Caenorhabditis elegans: one gene and its partner. The protein of the gene in region 1 interacts with the protein of each later gene in a pairwise test. Each region holds a gene or a part of one and is shown on either strand. Other genes may lie near its edges.

Region 1 (6,061 bases):
CGATTATGCTCACCAGAGAACTGCATTCGGACAGAAGATCGGATCATTCCAGGTGAGATTTTAAAAAATTACAATGAGATTATTTCAATTCCAACATTTTTCAGCTCCTCCAAGGAAAGCTCGCCGACATGTACACCACCCTCAACGCTTCCCGTTCTTATCTTTACATGGTCGCCAAGGCAGCCGATAAGGGAAATGTGTCGAATAAGGATTGTGCCGGTGTGATTCTCTATGTCGCCGAAAAATGTACTCAAGTGTGTCTCGACGCGATTCAAATTCTCGGCGGAAACGGATACATCAATGACTATCCAGCTGGACGACTTCTCCGCGACGCCAAGCTTTACGAGATCGGAGCCGGAACTAGCGAGGTCCGTCGTCTGATCATTGGACGTGCTCTCAACAAGGAATACTCCAACTAATAATTTGCCCAGTGATCTCTGTTTGTTTTCAAATTCTTCAAAGGAGCTTTTCATCTGAAGGCCCGCTCGTCTTAAATTGTGACTATAAACCGGTCGATTCCCCCTATAGCGTTTAATTATAATTAATAGTAAATTTAGATGTAATTTTATAAAACAATGAAATTAAAAAAAAGAGAAACCATGTCACTTGAAAAAGTATGGATGGAAAATGAAACATAAAATACAGGGCAATTTTGATGAGAAAAAGTTCAAAGAAGGAAAAGCTCAGTATAGAGAAGAATCATTTTGTGTATCTGTGCGAATGGAAGAGAATGGAGAAACTTGTTGATACCGGTAAAATACAAATGGTGAGGATTTTGGTGGGTGATGGGAAGGTAGAGCTGAGTTCAAACCTAAAATTGCATCTTCTCAATCTATTGAGAATTTTGCGGTAGCTTAGGCAGATCTAGAACGGCTGTGGGATAGGGGGACTAAAGCAATTTGGGGACAAGGGGAAACTATCCGGATGAGCTTATTCATTTTACAGGTTGATTGGGTAAAATAGTTAAAACAACATTCAACAAGAAATATACTAGACTACTAAATACAATCATCATCGGGAAACGGGCGTTCCTGCTCCAGAACTGGAAGAAGCTGGAAGAGGTGGTGGATAGTGTGGTGTCAATTGCCACATATTGGCGCCCATCATCGGATGATGTGGATTGCCCATTTGAGCAGCTGCAGCTTCTGCGGAGCCAGCTCGATTTCCGGCAACCATGAGAGCGGGATCTGGAAAAATTCAATTTTAGAAGCACAAACTTTTGGCATTATTGAAAAATTAATGAAATATTTTGCAATGTTCCGAAAAGTAGACCAGATAAAGTCATAGGAAATTGAAATTTTTCTGAGAAATTTAAAACAAAGAAAAAGAAAACTCACTTTGCGGAGGTTGCGGAGGTCCGTGTGGCATCCCGGGCATTCCTTGCATTCCCGGATGCATCGGCGGCATTCCCTGCATTCCTGGATGCATTGGTGGCATACCGGCCATACCTGGATGCATGCCAGGTGGCATCATTCCGGGCGGCATCATTCCGGGCGGCATCATCCCTGGTGGCATCATTCCTGGATGTCCTGGCTGCCCACCTTGTGCATGCATTGCTCTCATCATCATTATGTGGTGGTGATACATTGGATTGGCCGGATGATTCGGTGGGAATTGGGAAGGATGAGGATGATGGGGAGACGGTGAGGCACCCATTGGTGACGCCCGAGCTGCAGGAGACATTCCGGCGGCTGCTGCAGCAGCGGCAGCTTTTTGAGCATTGAAATGAGCCATTTGAGCTTGCTGCATTTGCATGAAATGTTGTTGTTGCTGAGGTGTCATCATATGGGGTGGCATTGGTGGTCCTGGCATTCTACCTTGTTGCATTGCAGCCATCGCTGCTGGTGATGGAGCACTTTGAGGGAATGATGGGGATCCGAACGGCATTTTTCCTGGTGCAGACATAGGATATCCTCCTGGAGTCATTCCGGGATGCATTCCATATGGATTCGGTGGGAATGGTCCGCCCATTGGTGGATACGAGGCTCCTGCAGAAAATGGTGCTCCGGGTGGCATCATTGGTGGCATTCCCGGATAATGCATTGGTCCTGGATACTGTCCAGGTGATGGGTAGGATGGTGGCATTGATCCTGCGGCAGCGGCTGCTTGTTGCATTTGCCTCATTTGAGCTTCGCGGGCTTGTTGAGCAAACTCTTCTCCGACTGACTTTCCGATGACGTCTAGTTTTTCCATTTTTAGCGTACGTTCGTCTCTGAAAATTAGAATAAAGTTTAGATAATTTTAAAATTATAAACTCACTTTTTGCTAGCTTCTACGACTTCATTGATAGTGTTTCCACCTCTAAAATTCGAAGAATTCGCCATCATCTCCAGCTTTCTCATTGGATTATTGTCGTTCTCTGATCCTTCAATTTTCGCTTGCTTCATTGGACCATCATTCCCGAATTCTTCAGTTGCTCTTCGTTTTAGAGATGCATTTGAAGGTGGGTTCGAGTTCGATGTTGATGGCATTTGATGGTTGAAACTCAGCTGATTTAAAGGACTCGAATGATGATTATTTAACATTAATAAACTGGTGTCCGGCTGATGATGATGATTTATCGAATTTGGATGGGTATTCTGGTTCTGGTTCATTTGTGGTGCAGATGATGTCGATGGAGTTGATGAAGACGCCGCTGATGACATAAAATCTTCCAGTGTTGGACAGATTTCATCCAATTCGACTGGTGAACTCATGCACTGCATCGGATCATTTGATCGAGGGTTATTCTCGAGACCAAACTGAAAAATCAATTTTTATTTCAATAATTTTTGATTTTATTTTTCAAAAAACTTACTGGACTGCATGAAAAACCGTTGAGACCACCGTGCGCCCCATTCGTACTGCTTGTTCCACTTTGATGTGATGATGGCTGAGAAGACATTGGCGTTGTTGAGCCTTTCTCACTGACGTAGGATGGAGCTGTTGAATTTCCTACGGAGCTTGTTCCGAGTGCCGGCACATCGTCACGTTGAAGTTTATACCAGGTAATTAGCGAGTCGAACTTTTCCTTTTCTCGCTCAATGTCCAACGCAGCTTGGTTTATCATATCAGTTCTGAAATAATCAAGATTATGTCATTTAAAAATTGATTTTTTAACAGGAAACATACGTGAAATAATAATACTCTTGCTCCGCCGCCTCGAGCGGCGTAGCTACTCGTCTTACAGTTGGTGGAGACGTGATTTCTTGGCTTGACGGAGCTGATCGACCGTGTGCAGGAGATGACTCAGGCTGAAATTTGTGCTGGTTAGGAGATTAATAAATTTCCTGATTTAAAAAATGATGAAAATCACGTTGAATTCAGTAATTTTAATAGGTTAAAATTAAAAAAATTATCAAAAATTTAACTTCGAACACGAACAGTTAACAGTAGAGCGCGTTTGCTCACTAAAAAATAGCGGTTCTGTGGATTTCGATTCATGAGATAGCTACCGATAGAAACGGAAATTACTCAGGTTTGAAATTTTTTAGATGATCAGTTAATTTTTTTTTAATTGAAAATAGAAGTTGAAATACTTTTTCTTTCTCAAGAGCTATTTATGATCGTCTTCAACTTCTCGACTCCACCCCATTTTTTGAGGTTTGCATTTCTCCGATGTCAACGCTTTCAAAGCTTTTAAAAAATTGGAGGGAAATTTGAAATTTTCAGTTTTTAATTAGAAAATTGTATTTTTCGCTAAGACTTTTGAAAAAAAATCAAAAAATGCAAACCTGAATGTCCTGACTAGTGGATGGCATAGTCAACGTTCTATCGGCGTCATCATTTTCCTCCTCCTTGACAACTTCAGACTTCACTAACGACGGAGAAGCAGTCGGAGTGACGTCTTCATCTGCGGAAGTGTGCTTTTCGTCTTCTTCTTTTGAAGACGGTGACGATGTTGAGCTCGCTGGCATATTCCTGAAAATTGTGACTTTAATAGAAATTTCGGAATTTGTTCGAAACAAAAAGAATGCAAATCAAACATCAAAAATGTTCATTTTACTTCATTTCATTGACAGTATTGTTGTGTTTTATAGTGGATGGTGATAAGAAAGTGTGAACAGGAAAAAAGTCTTACCGTTGAAAATTTTATTAGCGCGTTTTTTTTTGTTTCTCTCCGTTTACTTTGGCACTGCTTTCATTGACAGTTATTGGTTTCTGGAAGAATTAAACAAATTAGTAGGGTCATGATTTGAATTTTTTTGAATTGAGACACAAAAAATTGATGGAAGATGATGAGAAATCAAGAAAGAGAGAGAGAGTGAATGGCCAGGTGCGTGTGCCTGGTAGAGACCGGTGCAGAACGAATCGAAGGAAAAAAAACGGAAAGTGATAGAGGGTAGGGTGAAGAGATTGAGAGGAGAAACAAGAAGAAACACAGAAGACAAAAAAAATGATGGGCTGACGTAGAAATTGGACGGGAAAAATGAGAAGAGTTCATGCTCAAGAGTTCATGAACTAAAGATCATATTGGGCTGAAGCACAAGGTTGAAATGATGGTAAAGGTGGAGTAAAACTTTTCAAATGATTTTTGAAATTTTTTATTTTGTTTCAAAGTTGTCATTCTTTCCACTATTTTGGAAGTCGTCAGGCAAAAAACATTTTTCTTCAAATTTAATGATCTACTTATGTTTCAAATTTTTAATATTCAAATACTATATTTCGAGATTCAAATATGCTACGGTTCTAGTTGTGTCAAATAAAAATTCGAAAAAATTCTAGTTCTACGCAAAACTTACTGTTTCAACAAATTTATTAATTCAATCAAAATTCTGTTATTTCTAAAAATCTGATGTAGAAAATTGGTAGACTATAGAAAAATAATTTTAAATTGATATACGATGAAAAAGTAAAGTACTGTCCAGAGAATCGGGAATGAAAAAGTTCCAAAATGAATTAGTGTTCTACGCGAAAATTTACTGTTTCAACAAATTTATTAAAGGAATTAGACGTCTTCAGTGATTTTTGTATATGCAAAAAATATATATATAATTAACCAGTGGTATACTGAACCTTCGGTCCCCGACTTCAAGAGCTGAATGATGATTCTTAAACTACAGTAACCCTACCGTACTCCTACCAAAATTTCACAAACTACAAAGACTACATACAGTCAACGATACCTAATATTGCCCACAAATGGCAAAAGTCTACAGTAATACCTAACACATCTAGTAATATTCCAACAATCTGATTACCTAGTATTTGACCATAAACCTTCACTTCCAATGACTCACCCAACAACTCTTCGTAAACAGAATAAATTGAAAATAACATTAGGATCCGAGAGATCACAGAGAAAAGGCCTTGAATTGGCAAAACGCCAAGTGGTGTAGTTCTGGTGGGTGGAGGTGTGTCCTCTTCTTCTTCTGGGGCGCGCGCGCCAACAGGCAAACAGTCCGATCACGAAGGAACAATTAGAAATCAGGAGGTCGCAGAGAAAAAGGTGTCGGGCGTACTGGGCACCAAGGGCGTAGGGAGATAGAGAAGAGAGGATCAGACTCAACTTTTACTTTTTTGGGAGGTGGGGAATATGAAACATTATACAGATAGTATTGAATTGGGGATATGAAGACAAAAAAATATTGTTTTAAATAAAATATTTAGAAGCTGTAGATTGCAACTCATTTGATGCTCCGTAATCAAAAATTTTCAATTAAAAATTTTACTGTTTCAACTGGTAATCAAGTAAATTAAAAGATGGAGCACCACAATAGTTATGCCAAAACTTCAAAAAATTTCGTTTTTGAAATATCTTCAAGTTTATTTTCCAAATTTTTTCAATTTTTAGAATTTTGCAGCCCAAAGGTCCTGGCCAGAGAATGGAATAAATGGCAGAGTTTTATCATATTCTAGGCCACCACTAATAAATATGTCATACTCAAGCAGCTCCACAAATGGAATGAATGAAAAGATAGGGAAAAAATAAACCGAACAAAAAAAGTAAGAGCCTTCCAATGTGAGAGTGTAAGAGACCGAGTCATCCAGGCAGAGCAATAGCATCAAAACCGGGGGACACATACACACGGGAGGGTCTTGGGCCCCTTTCGAAAACATTGGGACGCTGCAATATTCTCTG
Region 2 (3,643 bases), about 10 Mb from region 1:
ATTCATCAAAATTGAAACATTAAAATAAAAAAAAAAGCAAACTTTTTTGCTAAGCAGCTCCATAATAGGCTTTCCATCCGGGCGAGGTGTGTCGGGGGCGCCCTTCGCCCGCCTCTTTCCCGCGCCCCCCTCACGCCCGCCCTGACACCCGGTATGCAATTTGTCGTCGCGGTGTTTGCAGAAATGAAACAAATTGGACGCGCATTTAGAAAACTTTGCCATCACGTTATAATATTAAATTGTAATTTTGGCAATTATTTTTATTCAATAGTGGATTAATAGTGCAATGTTTAATTTTGAAAATGAATAATGTATGAATTTCTGAGCCCTTTTATCATAACGGTAAAGCAAGATTAGTGTTAAAAGTTTATTAAAAGAAAATTGATTTACAAATTATTGCGACTAGAAACAGAAAATTAGGTGAGAAATAATTTACAGAATTAAACAAAATGAGCTAAAGTCAATATGGACAGAGAAGTCAAAACAATCACAGGAAAATTTGAAAAAAATAGGAAACAAGGGTTAGTAATGAAGAAGTGACAATTAATTGCTAGAATAATATGGATAGTGGATAGGATTTCCATTTTCATCGAAATATGAATTTTCAGCAGAAAATGATGACTGGAAAGAGGAATCAGAATAAATAGAGTTATTCATGGAATAGTTGAGATGTGGAAACTGTTGGCTGGATTGAAAATATGGATAATAATAGGGATAGGAACCATATGGATATTGATTTGGAAATTGAGAGACTGGGTAATCTGGAGCATTCTGATGAATATTTTCCTTTTGATTGATCGCAAATTGTGGTACACTTGAAAGATACTGAACATTTTTTGCAACCCTATTTTGTTTAGTTTTCGGATCGAATTGATTGTGGATTTCATCAAATAGAGCTGTGAATTGCTGAACATAAATTGGTGGAGTATTGACTGTTGGATACGCATGTGGATATTGATTTTGATAGGAAGTTGATGGGAACTGGTGAATAGAGGAACTGATCTCATTTTGAAGCCTTCCAGAATTCGTGGACTCATTATAATTTTCTGATTGTGAGGCAACTTGAAGGATATCCGAAACAGCAATTTCTGTTTCATTTTTTGATCGTTTTGATGTTCGCTCTTCACTCGAATCAGTATTCTTTCTCTTGTTTCCCCCATCCAATCTATTTCCATATGTTGAGTTCTTGTGAAATTTAGATTTCCAATTTCCGATCGATTCTTGATTGTATACTGTGACTGGGAAAAATTGGGCTACTTCCATTCTCATAGAATGATTTGCAGATTCAACATTCGTGATATTTTTGACAGTGAGGACTGGAACATACTTGTGCATTGTTTCCACGAAAAACTGAAATAAAAATTAATTATAATATTATTTAGTGAATTAAAAATTCAAACTAACCACATTATCCTTGTCCATGAATTTTTTGTGATTCGTAATCCTGACTGTATCAAATTTAATAGTTTCCTTCATCAATTCCTTTCCAAGTTTTGTTCCATCTGGATGTAAGAAATATTTGATTTCTTGTTCTTTTTTCGTTGCATGACGGACTTTTGAAGGTCCCCATTTTCCATTTCGGTATCCATATCTGAAATTAAGATTTGTCTTTAATGGTGACTTTGAAAATCATTAAAAAATACCTGATATTGTCATATTTTTCAATTGAAAGAAGTACAACATATCTCGATTTCTCTTCCAATCCAGTAATATTGAAGTTGAGTTCGGGAAAAATTAGTTTCGGCCCTTTATTATTCACAATCATTTCCATATTTGGATACCATTGTTTCCATCGGTCTTCTTCAGCCATTGTAACATTGAATTGAGCTTGTGAAAACATTATTGAATCTGAATATTGAAAAAAAATCAACATATATTAATAGGAAGTATGAAAGAAAAAAAACGGTATACTAAACAAAATATTATAATGAATGATCCTCTCTATCCCTTTAATGTTTTAGACCCCACTTAGTGGGCGGAGCCTGAGCACTGGGTTGAGTCAACCAATTATCGATTGATTGTATTCACTTGCTCTCTTAGAATTGCTCAACAAAAACTGTTTGAAACTGGAAATCGTACTTTATATAGTGATGTCCTTTTAATCACTATATTGAAACAGTAACTTTTTGAGTGCTGCCGCATTTGATAAAAACGCCCGAGTTACTAATTTAAAATAAAAATACTAAAACCCGATCCAAAGCAAATTATTTAAGGATATCCACATTTAGACTTTTATTTTGTAGTGTCAATTTTCTGCGTGCTTCTCTATTCCAGATTACCTTTTCACATATTAATATTTCATGTCAAAGTTGTCTATTCCAAAACATTACGTTACAGTTCCACTGGTGACCTATATTCTTCCCAATTGTCATTCACATAATGACAATAGGTGCAAGGTATCCCCCACCTTAACATCCACCACTTTACAACTCTACTTCCTTCTCCTTGACATATCATTCCTTTTCGATCGATTTCCGGACACACACCTGACAATCCAAATGGTTGTAAACTTTATGTACTGGGAAAATATATTTAGTCTTTTGATAGATAATAAGCAGAAAAGTGAGAAAGTGTATACTTTTACAAAATTGAAAATATAGAAAATGATAGGTTTACATTTCATTGCAAACGTTATTTTAATAACAAAATTTCAGACAGAAAAGGATTTATTTGAAAAGTTTCTATTTTGGATGAAAATTCTACTCCGCTCTGCAAAACACTATGTCAGTATTAGTAAATATGTATTAGACATCACATTCTTAAAGAGAGAATTAATAAGCTGTAATTAAAAAAAAAATAAAAATTGCTGTTTCAACATTGTGATACATTTGCTGCATTAATGAGAGTAAGACAATTTGTTTGGTGGCCTTATTGATGTTAGTGAAATATGCCACATTTATTCTCGAAAATATGAATTAATTAATTAAAATCCCAACAGAAGTTACTTTTTTCTTGAATATTTTTCTATCGGTAAGAATATAGCTTCGGTTTACAATTTACTGAGATATATATGTACATAACTAAACTATTGAGCTGACAAATTCAAAAATATCCAAAAACAATCAAGGAATACAGGTTGAACGGATCATTGAGCATATTATGCATGTTGACATTAAAATTAAAATTGTAATACAAAAGTATTTACGGAGTGTTTTAAATTACTATAGTGAAACACGCAATATGTAGATAAACAATTTTGATAAAGTTAAAGACAGAATTTTTTTGAGTAGCCATTCTATTTAATTCCATGTGCATATAATTGTATTTTTTTCCGAAAAATTAACTAATGCTGAAATTAAAATTATGTTTCAATGTCCTGATAACTTTGTCACCATGTTTTGCAATTATTATGTTTTTCTCCCAACAATATTTTCTGATTGGAACTGGAATCAAAAAATCATTTTTAAAATTCATATTAATATCAACAACAAGTTATGCGTTTAGATTTACCAACGTTTAGAAACAGTAAAAATTATCAGAACTTTACAAAAATTCTTTTCGAGCAACTTCTTTATTCTAATCAAGTACTACTTCATTCATCACAATGGAATATTAATTGATAACAATTCCAGATTTAAGTCTCCATTTTCCTTCTTCTCCTTCACGCAATAGATAGAAATCAGCAATATTGGTTCTTGGCCCA

Evidence for each region. Proteins that work in one complex are often made in the same cells at the same time.
Region 2: the proteins of pygo-1 (region 1) and tbx-39 interact in a two-hybrid assay, tested with the Caenorhabditis elegans proteins (one large-scale study listed by BioGRID).

What each region holds. Positions count from the first base shown.
Region 1 is NC_003282.8:5,081,382-5,087,442, reverse strand, and holds pygo-1 (SH3 domain-containing protein), read right to left. Parts: upstream 4,141-6,061; 5' UTR 4,061-4,140; intron 3,901-4,060; 5' UTR 3,897-3,900; coding exon 3,714-3,896; intron 3,234-3,713; coding exon 3,112-3,233; intron 3,057-3,111; coding exon 2,798-3,056; intron 2,742-2,797; coding exon 2,260-2,741; intron 2,213-2,259; coding exon 1,338-2,212; intron 1,188-1,337; coding exon 1,012-1,187; 3' UTR 556-1,011; downstream 1-555. Other genes in the region: ivd-1 (Isovaleryl-CoA dehydrogenase, mitochondrial), read left to right, coding at 1-52, 105-419.
Region 2 is NC_003282.8:15,322,090-15,325,732, reverse strand, and holds tbx-39 (Putative T-box protein 39), read right to left. Parts: upstream 1,841-3,643; coding exon 1,644-1,840; intron 1,592-1,643; coding exon 1,405-1,591; intron 1,351-1,404; coding exon 544-1,350; downstream 1-543. Other genes in the region: Y73F8A.15 (DUF38 domain-containing protein), read right to left, coding at 3,553-3,643.